3 linked regions of the Drosophila melanogaster genome follow. The main gene of each other region encodes a partner of the protein of the gene in region 2 in a complex. Each region holds a gene or a part of one and is shown on either strand. Other genes may lie near its edges.

The links.
Region 1: eIF3d1 (region 2) and eIF3j share a complex: the UniProt entries of both Drosophila melanogaster proteins name them as parts of the eukaryotic translation initiation factor 3 (eIF-3) complex.
Region 3: eIF3d1 (region 2) and eIF3f1 share a complex: the UniProt entries of both Drosophila melanogaster proteins name them as parts of the eukaryotic translation initiation factor 3 (eIF-3) complex.

The regions. Positions count from the first base shown.
Region 1 is NT_033778.4:9,967,078-9,970,830, reverse strand, and holds the start of eIF3j (eukaryotic translation initiation factor 3 subunit j), read right to left. Parts: upstream 1,903-3,753; 5' UTR 1,612-1,902; coding exon 1,596-1,611; intron 1,371-1,595; coding exon 1,279-1,370; intron 1,091-1,278; coding exon 977-1,090; intron 913-976; coding exon 624-912; intron 560-623; coding exon 423-559; intron 358-422; coding exon 295-357; 3' UTR 1-294. Other genes in the region: CG12133 (uncharacterized protein), read right to left, coding at 2,480-2,954, 3,019-3,566. UniProt on the Drosophila melanogaster protein: Component of the eukaryotic translation initiation factor 3 (eIF-3) complex, which is involved in protein synthesis of a specialized repertoire of mRNAs and, together with other initiation factors, stimulates binding of mRNA and methionyl-tRNAi to the 40S ribosome.
Region 2 is NT_033777.3:23,677,962-23,681,714, reverse strand, and holds the start of eIF3d1 (eukaryotic translation initiation factor 3 subunit d1), read right to left. Parts: upstream 1,677-3,753; 5' UTR 1,525-1,676; coding exon 1,326-1,524; intron 1,204-1,325; coding exon 568-1,203; intron 499-567; coding exon 206-498; intron 130-205; coding exon 1-129. Other genes in the region: GILT2 (Gamma-interferon-inducible lysosomal thiol reductase 2), read right to left, coding at 1,875-1,979, 2,038-2,331, 2,457-2,621, 2,688-2,747; GILT3 (Gamma-interferon-inducible lysosomal thiol reductase 3), read right to left, coding at 3,364-3,477, 3,551-3,753. UniProt on the Drosophila melanogaster protein: mRNA cap-binding component of the eukaryotic translation initiation factor 3 (eIF-3) complex, which is involved in protein synthesis of a specialized repertoire of mRNAs and, together with other initiation factors, stimulates binding of mRNA and methionyl-tRNAi to the 40S ribosome.
Region 3 is NT_033777.3:4,712,414-4,716,166, forward strand, and holds eIF3f1 (eukaryotic translation initiation factor 3 subunit f1), read right to left. Parts: upstream 1,770-3,753; 5' UTR 1,673-1,769; coding exon 830-1,672; 3' UTR 469-829; downstream 1-468. UniProt on the Drosophila melanogaster protein: Component of the eukaryotic translation initiation factor 3 (eIF-3) complex, which is involved in protein synthesis of a specialized repertoire of mRNAs and, together with other initiation factors, stimulates binding of mRNA and methionyl-tRNAi to the 40S ribosome.

The sequences.
Region 1 (3,753 bases), on a different chromosome or scaffold from region 2:
ACGACCTACATACATGTGCTGTCGCCATAAGTCAGTTGCCTAAATATTCTTTCGGTTTGGAGTTGGATTTGCGTGTTCGTTGAGGTTTCTTGATTGCCTGACTTGACTATGTAACTCGTTTTGTGTTATGTATGGTTATATAAATATATATTTACATATTTATATAGGTTCTGCCATTTTATATTTAACAAAGGACTCTTATTCCTGCGCAGCATCTCTAACAAGAAGAACTCTTCAACAAGCAACTATGCATTCAATAATTAGATATATGCGGGCTACATTTATAGATCCTATTCACATGAAGTCGTCATAGTCTTCGGTGAAGTCATTTCCGTACTTTTGGTAACCGTCAATGTCCTGCAAAAGAGCGGATTAAATAAGTTCATTCGTTGATCTCGAACGGCGGCGATTGAAACACTCACGTCGTTTTCGGTGCGGAGAGTGACCTTGCCCTTGCCCTTTCCAGCGGGCTTTTTAGCATTGGCCTTTTCCAGCTTCAGCTTTTCCGAGTGCAAGATTTCCACGTTCATCTTGACCTTTTTGATGTCAGCAGCGCTCACTAGATAAGGTGCGAAATCAAATCAGATAAGCCGTCTTTAATTGTCAGCCAGCTAATCACTCACGATTCACGCATAGGCTGCGCACCAGATCCTCAACAAATTGGGGGAAGTGCTCCGACTCGCGGAATTGGCCCACCTTCCAGCTGAGCGTTGCGCCAAATTCCTTGAACTCCTCCTTGGTCTCGGGGTTGAAGGCGTCAAGACCTCCGCACGTACTCGTCACACCGAACGCTTCCTGGGCATGCTTGAGATCAGAGGCCTCCTGGATTTTTTGCAATCGCAGCTTCTCAGCCAACTTTTCTGCAGGCGATAGGTTGGCCAAACGTTTTGCCTCCGCTTCCTCCTCTAGGAGCTGTTAATAACAGATGATAACAATATAGCCAATGATTGAGAAATGCTTTTGAGCCTTATCTCACCGCCTGCTGTTCCAGTTTGGCTTTTAGCGCCTTATTTGGCTTCGGTTTGGCTGGTGCTTCTGTTTTCGTAGGCTTCTCCTCGTCCTTTTTTTCCTCCTCATCCTCCCAGCTGTCCTGTGGGCAGCAAATAAACAAATGATTCGATCAGTCTGCTGCAAAAGTGCACACGTGTACAGCGAAACGAAAGTGAAACCGAGTGCAGAAAAACAAGTTTTGGCCCATGGCATTTGTTGTTGGGCACTTGGATAGTTGGTTTGAATGCGGCACTGCTTTCGATCTCACTTGGATTTCGTTAGTCGCACCTTGATGTCCTCATCCTCGTCCTCGCCCTCCCACTTGTTTACGCTGGCGGCGGCAGTCGGCCGGATGACCACCTCGCTGTCTGCTGCGGATTCTGCCAGGTAACAGAATGAGTTCCAGGAACATGGTGAATAACAATGATTTCAAACGGTTAGTTGGCACAGTGGCTAAAAATACTCATCAAGGCTGGTTGCACGGCACTCCAACAACAACAGCAATAGCAGCAGCAACAACAACAACAACGACGGAGACCACGTTTATTGTCCGCCGTGCAGATGACGCACCGCCCACTCTTCCGCCCAGGCCAATCGCAACTTACCCCAATCGTCGGCCATGTTAATGGTTGCCTATTTGCTTGCGGGATTTGTGCTTCTGGATGGGATGGTGCTGGGATCGACTTGTTTCCAGCCTCGGCAGCGATTTCAGGAATTTTCCAAAACCAAATTTCTGTGGATCTGTAGTGTGCCCAAGGCGCGACTAGCGGAAAATGCGTGGGTAACGTCGCCGATAGTCTGTTGCCATCGAATATTCGTAGTGCGGCCAAGGTGATATCAAGTTATCGACAATTTGAAATTTGTTACCCTACAATATTTCATTTTTCATTTTTTTCCTTTCTTGATTGTAAGATTGCTTATTTTATTTTCAAACACAAATTTGTCAACTTTGTTAAGAAATCTTTAAGTTTTTAAAGATTTGAGTTACCCTACAAGTTTTTTTCAAAAAAAATTCGTGATAAATCTCCCTCTTCGTGGTGTTCTAAGAAACTTACTCTTAGAGTTATAAGGAAAATTGATTCGACTCGATAAATTATATATAGTAGAGAGTATATACATACATAAGCATGTTCTTGATAAGAAGAACTAGCTGTGTCGTTATATACCTCGAACTCCCCAATTGCTGACTAAGGCTATCTTATAGTCGAGGAATTCTTTCGATTGAGAGGCTAAGTCATCCTTATTGGAGTTAGAATTGGTCTAGTTAAGATCTGGATTTGTTTGCAAAATGTGAATTATGTCAAACGTCTGCAATTCTCAATGGTTACATCTGTTTTTAACATAATCATGTTAAATGTGGCTTTTTGTCCCAAGAACGGTTTTAAAGATAATTGTGTACTTTCTTTACTTGACTGTTTTGGCGATTTTGTTAACAAAGAACAACATCCATTTCTGCATGCATAAAAAGTATCATTTTAATAACGTTAAATTAAATTGGTATTCTTACAGATTTGTATTTCATTTTACGTTCATCTTCAGCGATATCATTGATTTTCTTCTTTATCCACTCATAATATGAGGAAGTTTTCGTGTAAACCGCTGGCCCATATCCGTAACTGGAGGGTCCCCCTCCGTAGGACGTTATTCCGGCTAGGTAATAAAATTGATCAGCACCCCTGCCCACCGAAGCCATCAGCGGGCTACCGGAATCTCCCAGTCCGGTGTCGGTGCCATCCCATCCCATGGCACATATCTGGATGTCCTTATCGACGAGCAGTGTTGGATACCGATTCAAGCATTCATCCGGACTCATTCCACTGATGGTGCCTTGGCGAAGTACGGTGCTTTTTTGCTGCAGACCCGAATCGCCCCAGCCGGCAATTTGAAAAGGGAAGTTTTTGAAGGAGGAAGTTGACAATTCAATGCCAGGCCAAATGCAAATGGGTCTGATCTGAAGAGTGTATCTGAAAGAGAGGACATCGATGGGAAAATGTGAAAAGAGGGAACCCCAAAGAGCACACTACTTACTTCACCCGACTCTTCAGACGCAACAGAGCAATGTCGTTGTAGTGTCTTCCATTTCTCGTGTAGTACTGCTCGTGCGGAACCCTCAGATCCACATCGATGTCCACGTGCGCTGGAGCCCATATCTTGGCTCCATTCGGCAGCCAGGTGTAGTCGGGATCGTTCTCGGTGTCATGCTCGCCCAGGCGCACACGTGCCACGTAGAAGTCATTCACATTCAAACAATGGGCTGCCGTCAGCACATAGCGACTGGCGATCAAGGAGCCCGCACACATGGGAGACGGTCGCTGCTTTGCTGTGTAGGCTTCGTAACCCAGCAGGACTGTCCAGGGAAACTGGTTGGACTGTGCCTCCATGCCGCCTACGATATATGACGAAGGAGGACTCTGTCCGCAGACCCTGCTATCTGGTAGTTTATCCCCTGCAACCATCGGGCAGCAGGTAAAAACCATGTGCACTAGCTCGTGGGCAAAAGGATTAATGTTGCATAGTTTGTTCCGGTACTGTGATTTTTGATCGTTTGTCATGTTCCGGGGATGTAGAATCTTCATAAGAGGTTCACATTTGCTCAGTGGGATGCAAATCTCGTCTAGTCGGCAAAAATTGAATTTTGCTAAGGGGGGTAACAAAAATTGACCAATTAATGGAGCTCAAAATGGCCGAAAATAGCATTTGTAACACTGTATGAAATCCTATTAAAGATTGCATTTTCCTGGTAAGACTATAGTTTTGTGTAGC
Region 2 (3,753 bases):
CTTTTGACGCCATTCCACGCCATTGGCCAACTTCGAGTCCCACTCGTTGAGTGCCTTGATAGTCATGAACTGCGGCTCGCCGCTTGGCGTCTGCAGGACACCATCGTGCTCGCAACGCGCTACCAGGACCTAAAAGTATAAGACAATAGTTTAACATAATATAGAAAAATATTCCAACTTTAAAGTTGGATTATGCAACACTTACAATATCGCTTCCCAGCTCCCACTTCTTGTAGCGGTAGCCCACGCTGGCGACTTGGATATCTTCGTCCTCGCTGATGAAAGGGTTGCTTTCCTCGAACTTGTATTTGGGTTCCTGGTCTCCAGTCTTAAGCACCTGCTGGCTAAAGTTGTGGTTAATGAAAGTCGCCTCGATGGCCAGGTTGCGAGGGGAGTTGCATGAGCTGTCGTCGTCGGTCGGTGGTTCCACGCTGCTCTCGTTCACGGTCAACAGATCGAACTCGGTGTGGTCACGCTTGTCCATGAACACCTTGTCGCCTAAAATAAGGTTACAATTATTATTTATTTCTCTTATTATTATTATATTTCGTATTTCATTTAACATACCAACTTTCTCGATGACAATATCCCAGGAATAGTTCGATCGCGTAGAGCACATGATGGTGGCCAGGATGGCGTCCGTGGCGAAGACATTGCCGACGGTCTTAGACAAACGCCGGATGACGGGATCGTCTGTGGTGGTCACCGTATGCACGATGCGATCGATCTTCTGCAGCGGCTTCTCGTTCTTCACATTGATGCGGTCGTAGGTCTTGTCGTAGTACTCCAACGTGCCGCAGGTGACAATATCGACGCCCTCCTTGATGTTGGGCAGCGACAGCTTGATGAGTCGCGGGAAGTCCATCTCCTCGATGGATGCCCAATCGGCGCGGACGGCCACCGAAGATTCGCGCATCTTTGGTGGTGGTCCGCGATGACCGAACTTCTTGCCCATGCCGCGACCATGGCGCGGATCGCGGGCCTTTACATTCTTGCCGCTGAGCGTCGTCATGCCGTGAGTATTAAGGCCACCGCGGGCATTCCTGCCACGACCGGAACGCGAATTCCTCATGTTGCGGAACCGGCCGCGCTGGTGCGGCGGCTTCTGGACGCGGGCCGTGTCCACCAGGTGGAAGGTTGTCTCGTCCTCCTCATGGTAGTACGAGTACTGAATGCCCGTGCCAAAGCTGGAGGCATACTTGTCTGCGAATGGAATACCAACCACCAATATGTTAGCAACAATATCATGCCACGACACACCTACCTAACCTCACTTTCGGCGATTAGTATTTTGTGGGTCGGTTTCGGGTGGGGAATAAACTCACTCTGGTACTTCTTGTCGTTGTTCGACGTATTCGTCCAGTCGCAGATCTTGCCCAGACGATCGTTCTTGCTGAACGGCTGGTACGGCACATCCTTGAACGTATCGGGCAGCTCGCAGGGACCCCAGCCCTTTTCATTGAACTGCACGGTCGGCTTCTCGAAGCTCGGGAACTGAGCCGCGGTGTTTATGGTCTCGCTCATCTCGCGCGTTTACCTGGTGCTCAGTCTGCAGTCGGCTATTCGGTCTATATACAGCGATTTTCCAGAAATCAACAAAGAAATGTGGAAAATTCGTATCGTCGCGTGTTGCGAAAATAGTTGAGTGGGACCGTTGTCGCGTTGAAATATACCACCGCCAAAGAAAAATACTAAAATCGTAGCGAATGTTCAAAGGTCTGGCAGCATGCTGTCATAGATGGCGCCACTGCTGGGCGGGAAAACTAAAAATTCGAACTATTCATTTTTCAGAACCTGATTTTACGATTTAATTACAAAGAAAATGCAAAAAATATTTTTTAATAAAAAAATGTATTGTTAAATGAACACAATATTTATTGACAATTATTTAGCTGCTTATTGAACTTTTCCTTATACTTGGCGCAAAAAATGGCATCAAAATGATCAGTTAAGTTTGCTGATAGATCCGCGTTATAAACCTTAAAATCACAAAGTTTTATTTTAGATTTCATGAATTTCTTTCGCATTTAAACTCACGTTATCCAGAGCTACGGCTGGCACTCCCTGAAATGAGACCTTGGCCGTTTCCTTGCCGTACTTCCTCAGAATGTCGTTCACCTGTCGCGTTTTCTTGCAATTTTTGACATCGCCCACGTCGATTTGATAGTGGTCAGCGCACTTTTCCAGCCTGTTCTTCTTACCCCTCATCATGCAGGCGATCAGCTTGAGGGATTGGGCAATGTCATGGTGCTCCAGTATGCAGGCGTGCCACGCGTTCAATTCGCACTCCATCACTCCGTGCTGGCACTCCACATTTCCGTCATCGTTCGTCTGGAGGGGATTAAGCGAAGTTTAAGTGCGGATTAACGCTGATTGACACTCTAAAACTTCAAATTGAGCTATACTATGTACTTGTACTATAACTACTAGTTTAAGCTACGAAAAATGAAACCTACCCTGGCATTTCCATAAGGAACCAGCGTAAGATCAGTGAATGGAAGTCGATCCTGACGGACCATCGAGGGATTGAGCTGCGTGGTCACGAACTCCATGCAGTAGGGACACAATGCTTCGTAGTACAGGGTGATCGCCAGTCGGTCAGCTTGCGGTCCGCGCAAACGCTGCAAAGTCACGATCAATGGGAGCGTCGCAATTCGGGATTCAGTCCGATCAACTGGGTCACTTACCCTTGGCGTGGCCACGCCCACCCATCCCAGCAGCAGACACACAAAGACAGCCGCCCTCATGGCAAATTCAGTTTAATCCCGAGCTGATCTTGAAATATTCGGCCGCTCAACGCCAGCGAACGCTCGACACTGAAATAATTCCGGGACTTGTAATGCGCAGCGTTGTCACTGCGTTTCGTCAAATTCGAAGCGGCCAGTGGCGTGGTTAGAAAATGCTCAAGGGGGGCTCAAAAATCATATAAGTTAAAAAAAAAATAATTATTTGTATTGCAATAGTAGGGTGACTTTTCGCTTGTTTTTTATAATTTTTCTGTAATATATCCGCTTTTGAAAAAATTAATATAAATATATAGATAAAGGGTGTGACTAGCCAACCAATTCGACGCCCCTGCTGTCAACCAGCATTTTCCCCTTTACATTTATGCGCTGACTACGGAAAACTTACTGAGCAGCGGGGTTTTAATCTTATTTTTAGACCACCAGACAGCTGTTTCTGATTAGAATCTGTATACAAAAACATGACTGATAAGCTGATATGTATATACTATACACATGTAAATTTTTATTGGCCCCAAGTGAGTCAGCGAGTAAGCAAACACTCCAGTTGGTTATAATTATTGTTTATTGGTCTTGGAACATTGAAACAGTTAAATTACTCAGTACATTACATAAAAGTTTACAAAATTGCGGAACAAGTGGGCAGTTTGATGTTGAACTTTTTCAGATACTGCCGACAGAAGTGTCTTTCGAAGTTGTTGCGAATGCTTCTCTGGTCGTAAGGATCAAAGTCCTGCGGATCAGAGGGTAATGTTAAGTTAAGTCTGGTATTTGATCATGTAAGCCTGGTTGGGTTGGTTACTCACATTCTCGAACACAATGGTGGGCACAAAGGAGATGCCCAGTTTAAGGGTTTCCTTGCCGTAGGGCGCCAGTATTTCTGCCGTGGTTCGGGATGCCTTACACTCCCTGGCCTTGCTGACGTCCACACCCATGCTCCTCGAGCACGGGCCCAGCTCATTCGAATAGGAGCGCAGCATGCAGTAGATCAGATTGAAGGCCTTCCGAA
Region 3 (3,753 bases), about 19 Mb from region 2:
TGTCCTTCTTTCATATGAAAAGTGTGTTTTTTTATGCTCTTTAGAGTACCTTTTATTCTTCACCAGGATCAAGAATCAGCGCAGTCGATCTGGCCATGTTTGTCCGCATGAACGTCAAGATCTCATGAACTATAAATGCTAGAAGATTAAGGATGCAGATTGCACAGAAAAGTGTAGGCGTAGCTCAAGTTTATCCTGGTGCTACCAAACAATTGAAAGTTAAGTAACGCATATGATGCAACGAGGTGCTGGTTATAAAATGTAAGAAACTAGTTTTTAATAGAATGTGTTGTCATATTTCGTCACAAAATTTGATATTATAACTTTTGTGTGCCGAAGGTACGATCATCAAAGTTTGATATTAAAGAATATAAATATTACTATTCTTACAATAAACCCAGCACCGATGCGACTCCCTGAAACCCTATAGAATAGTGAAGCTCACCAAAGACTGAAACACAACATTTTGTTTTAGCAGTTGGGTGCTAAATTTTCAGTTGCACATGCATTTATTTTGTTCCTGGTGATGAATACTGTTGTGTTTAAGAGTCTTCAGTAGATTCGAATGCTCCTACAAACGCCACATGGTCGTTTAGTGTAGGTGTCACAGGATTCATGCTGATTCTTCAATTGAGTTATAAAAAAGATAATCCCATATATATTTTCTTTAGTATGGAATGTCATTCTGACCAGAGTAATCGATACAAGTTTTGGTTTTTTTTTTTGGCGATCAGAGCACTTTATTACGTAGACCCCCATTGATAAAAAACACAATCAGTTTACAATGCCACCCTTAGTAGATATTACCACTTCAACAAACGCCGTCGTTCTAGGCGGTGGGCAGGAAGGTGAGCTTTTCGTTAAGCTGCAGCTGGGTTTTGATGAGCTGGGAGAGCGTGATGACCAGCAGAAGGTTGCGTACGTTGGCGTTGAACATCTGAGTGAACTGCTCGTGGGTCATGTGCGGCACGGAGTGGATAAGGTCTAGCAGCTGGCGTCCGACGGCGTTGTCGGGGGTTACCTTGTGAGCGATCACGTCGTCAACGTACTTGAGAATAAGATCCAGCAGGGACTGCAGCTTCGTGGAGGCCTCCGAGATTTGGGCCAGGTCCAGCATTGGCGGAACGGTCTTGGGACGGTGAGCGGGCGAAACGCCTACGGTCTTCTGAAGCAGCTTGAGCCCAAATGTCTCCGGCTCGTAGCTGGTCAGCTCGACAGGAATGGGCGTGAACATGCAGCCGCTCTTGCCGCCGGGAACTCCTAGTTGAATGCAGACATAAGCACGCAGACCCATACGTCCGCCCTGCAGCGAAGTGTCCACGGTGAGGTGAACCGGGTTGTTGCATTCGCGGGCGTAATACTCGTGGATCACCGAGCTGTGGTTGGTAACGTCGTTGCCGGTGGCCCACCAGCCTACCACGCTCTCGTTGGAGTTCACCTTGCGGTTGAGGTCGTACATGTCCAGGGCGTAGCTCAGCTCTGCCTCCACCTGGTCATCGTGCTCCTTGTGCGGCACACAGAAACAGTTGGTAACCTCCACCACACCTTTGTCCACAGAGCCGAGCAGGGTGCCGATGACGCGGTGCGAGTCCGCGTTCCGCCGCTCGAAGGCGTCCACCACCTGGAAAAGCACCACCGGGTGCACGCGCACGGTCAGATTGAGAGCCGACATGGTAATTTTCGGTGGCCAAGATTTGCAAGGAAAATTTCCGCAATAATTTCTATTCAGCCACGCTGCGCGTATGTTTTAGGGATGCAAGAAAAGGGCCTATCGATAGTGCGGGTGGGGGTTGATGGCTTTTGGAGCTATCGGTGCGGTCGTGCGTGGCCTATCGTTTTATCGATGTAAAACCGGTGGCTAGCGTTAGTTAATCAAATACTATTCAAATTTGAATATGTCGGAGATGCCAAGCGCGACTTTTCATTTACTTCAGCGTCCATATTGTCCAGCACATCAAGTCGCCTGCGTGTTGTTTCTTCTGTCGTTCTAAGCAGACTAATTTACTCAAGCGTCGCCTTCGCGATGCTTTTCTTCTATTCCTCACCTTCACTCAATTATTTCATCCTTACTTCGTTTCCAGAAACTATACAACAACAACAACAGCCACACAAATGATGCCCACTCAATAACGGAACGCTTTCCGTGAATTTCATTGCTCGCTGCTCATTCTTAACATAACGGATCAATAACAAAATGTCGGTTACATTCTACTACTCAATCTTGCTTGTGAAATTTTGCTGATCAAACGTGCTTAAAGCGAATTATTAAATTTAATAAAATGCCTGGAAAGAGATAAACTTTGAAGTTACCCAATTAATAAACTATAACCACCAGTTGGGAAAATCTTTTCCAGAATAAGTATAAATGTTTTCTGTATCCCGTAAGACCGTCTACTATTTTTTAAAAGGCTCGGAAAAAGAGGACAGGCTTGAACCTAAGAGTGGTGGTGGGCGGAAAATTAAAATTAAAAAGCGTGTAGACCGCTTTATTATGCGAATAGAGATTGCGAACCCCCGGTCAGATCACTTGCTCTGGATATCAGGCAAGAGTGTCACCTAACTGTGTCACACGAAACTGTGCGCCAAGTCATCCTACGCCATAGATACTCTTCAAGAGTTGCGAGGAAAAATCCTTTGCTATCAGATGCCAATATGGAAAAGCGTCATTAATTCGCTGTGAACAAGGTGGATCATCCAGAAGAGTACTGGGATGACGTCATATTTGGTGACGAAACAAAAATTATGCTCTTTTATAACGACGGGCCAAGCAGAGTATGGCGCAAACCGCTGAGTGCGCTAGAAAAACAAAATATCATTCCAACGATAAAATTTGGAAAAATGTCACTGATGGTTTGTGGCTGTATCACCAGCCATGGAGTGGGAAAACTAGCCTTAATTTAGAGCACAATAAATGCCGTGCAATATCTAGGAATCTTAAAAAACAAATTTGAAGGCCGGTGCAGAAAAATTTGGTCTAGTTAGCAACAACAAGCCAAATTTTATATTTTAAGAGGACATGATCAGAAACATAAAGAGTGCAATGTACGCACCTGGCGCCCTTATAACTGTGGTAAAGTGATCGATACGCCCCCTCAGAGTCCTGATCTGAACCCCATTTAAAATTTGTGGACCTACTTAAAGAAGAAGGTGGCAAAAAGGGACCTAAAACACGACAACAGCTTATGACTGTAATAGTCGAAGAGTGTGAAAAGATCCCGTTTGAATATGACCTGCAAAAACTTGTCCATTCCATGAAAAAAGGGCTTCAACTTGTAGCTAAAGCCAATGGGGAACATACTACATACCAAAACTTTTAAAATTTTAATAAAATAATTTAAAAATTTAGGATTAAACATCGATTTAGTGTTTTGTGTAAAGAGTTTCTTGACAGTCTCAAAAGTGTTTAAACTTGGAATTTGTTGTTTTTTTTCTTGTATATTTAATATTTTTAATTTGTTTTTTGATTTATAAGTAAAATAAATATTGTTTAATTATATTTTATAAAAAAAATGCGTTTAATTAAGCAAAAAACCTTTAATTTTTAGCTTTAAAGTCAAAAATTCAACTTATTTCACAGTGTGTAAACAGTTTCTTGACAAACTGTATCAATTTTAAGAGGAAGGTCCCGCTTGCCCTTCACTGAACGAAGGCTGGTTGGGAGAGTTTTAAAAATTCTAATATGTAATATGTAAAGCCCCTAAGGGAGCTAAAAAACATAACTCTTTTCGACTGCCCATTCACTGTGAGTTCCAT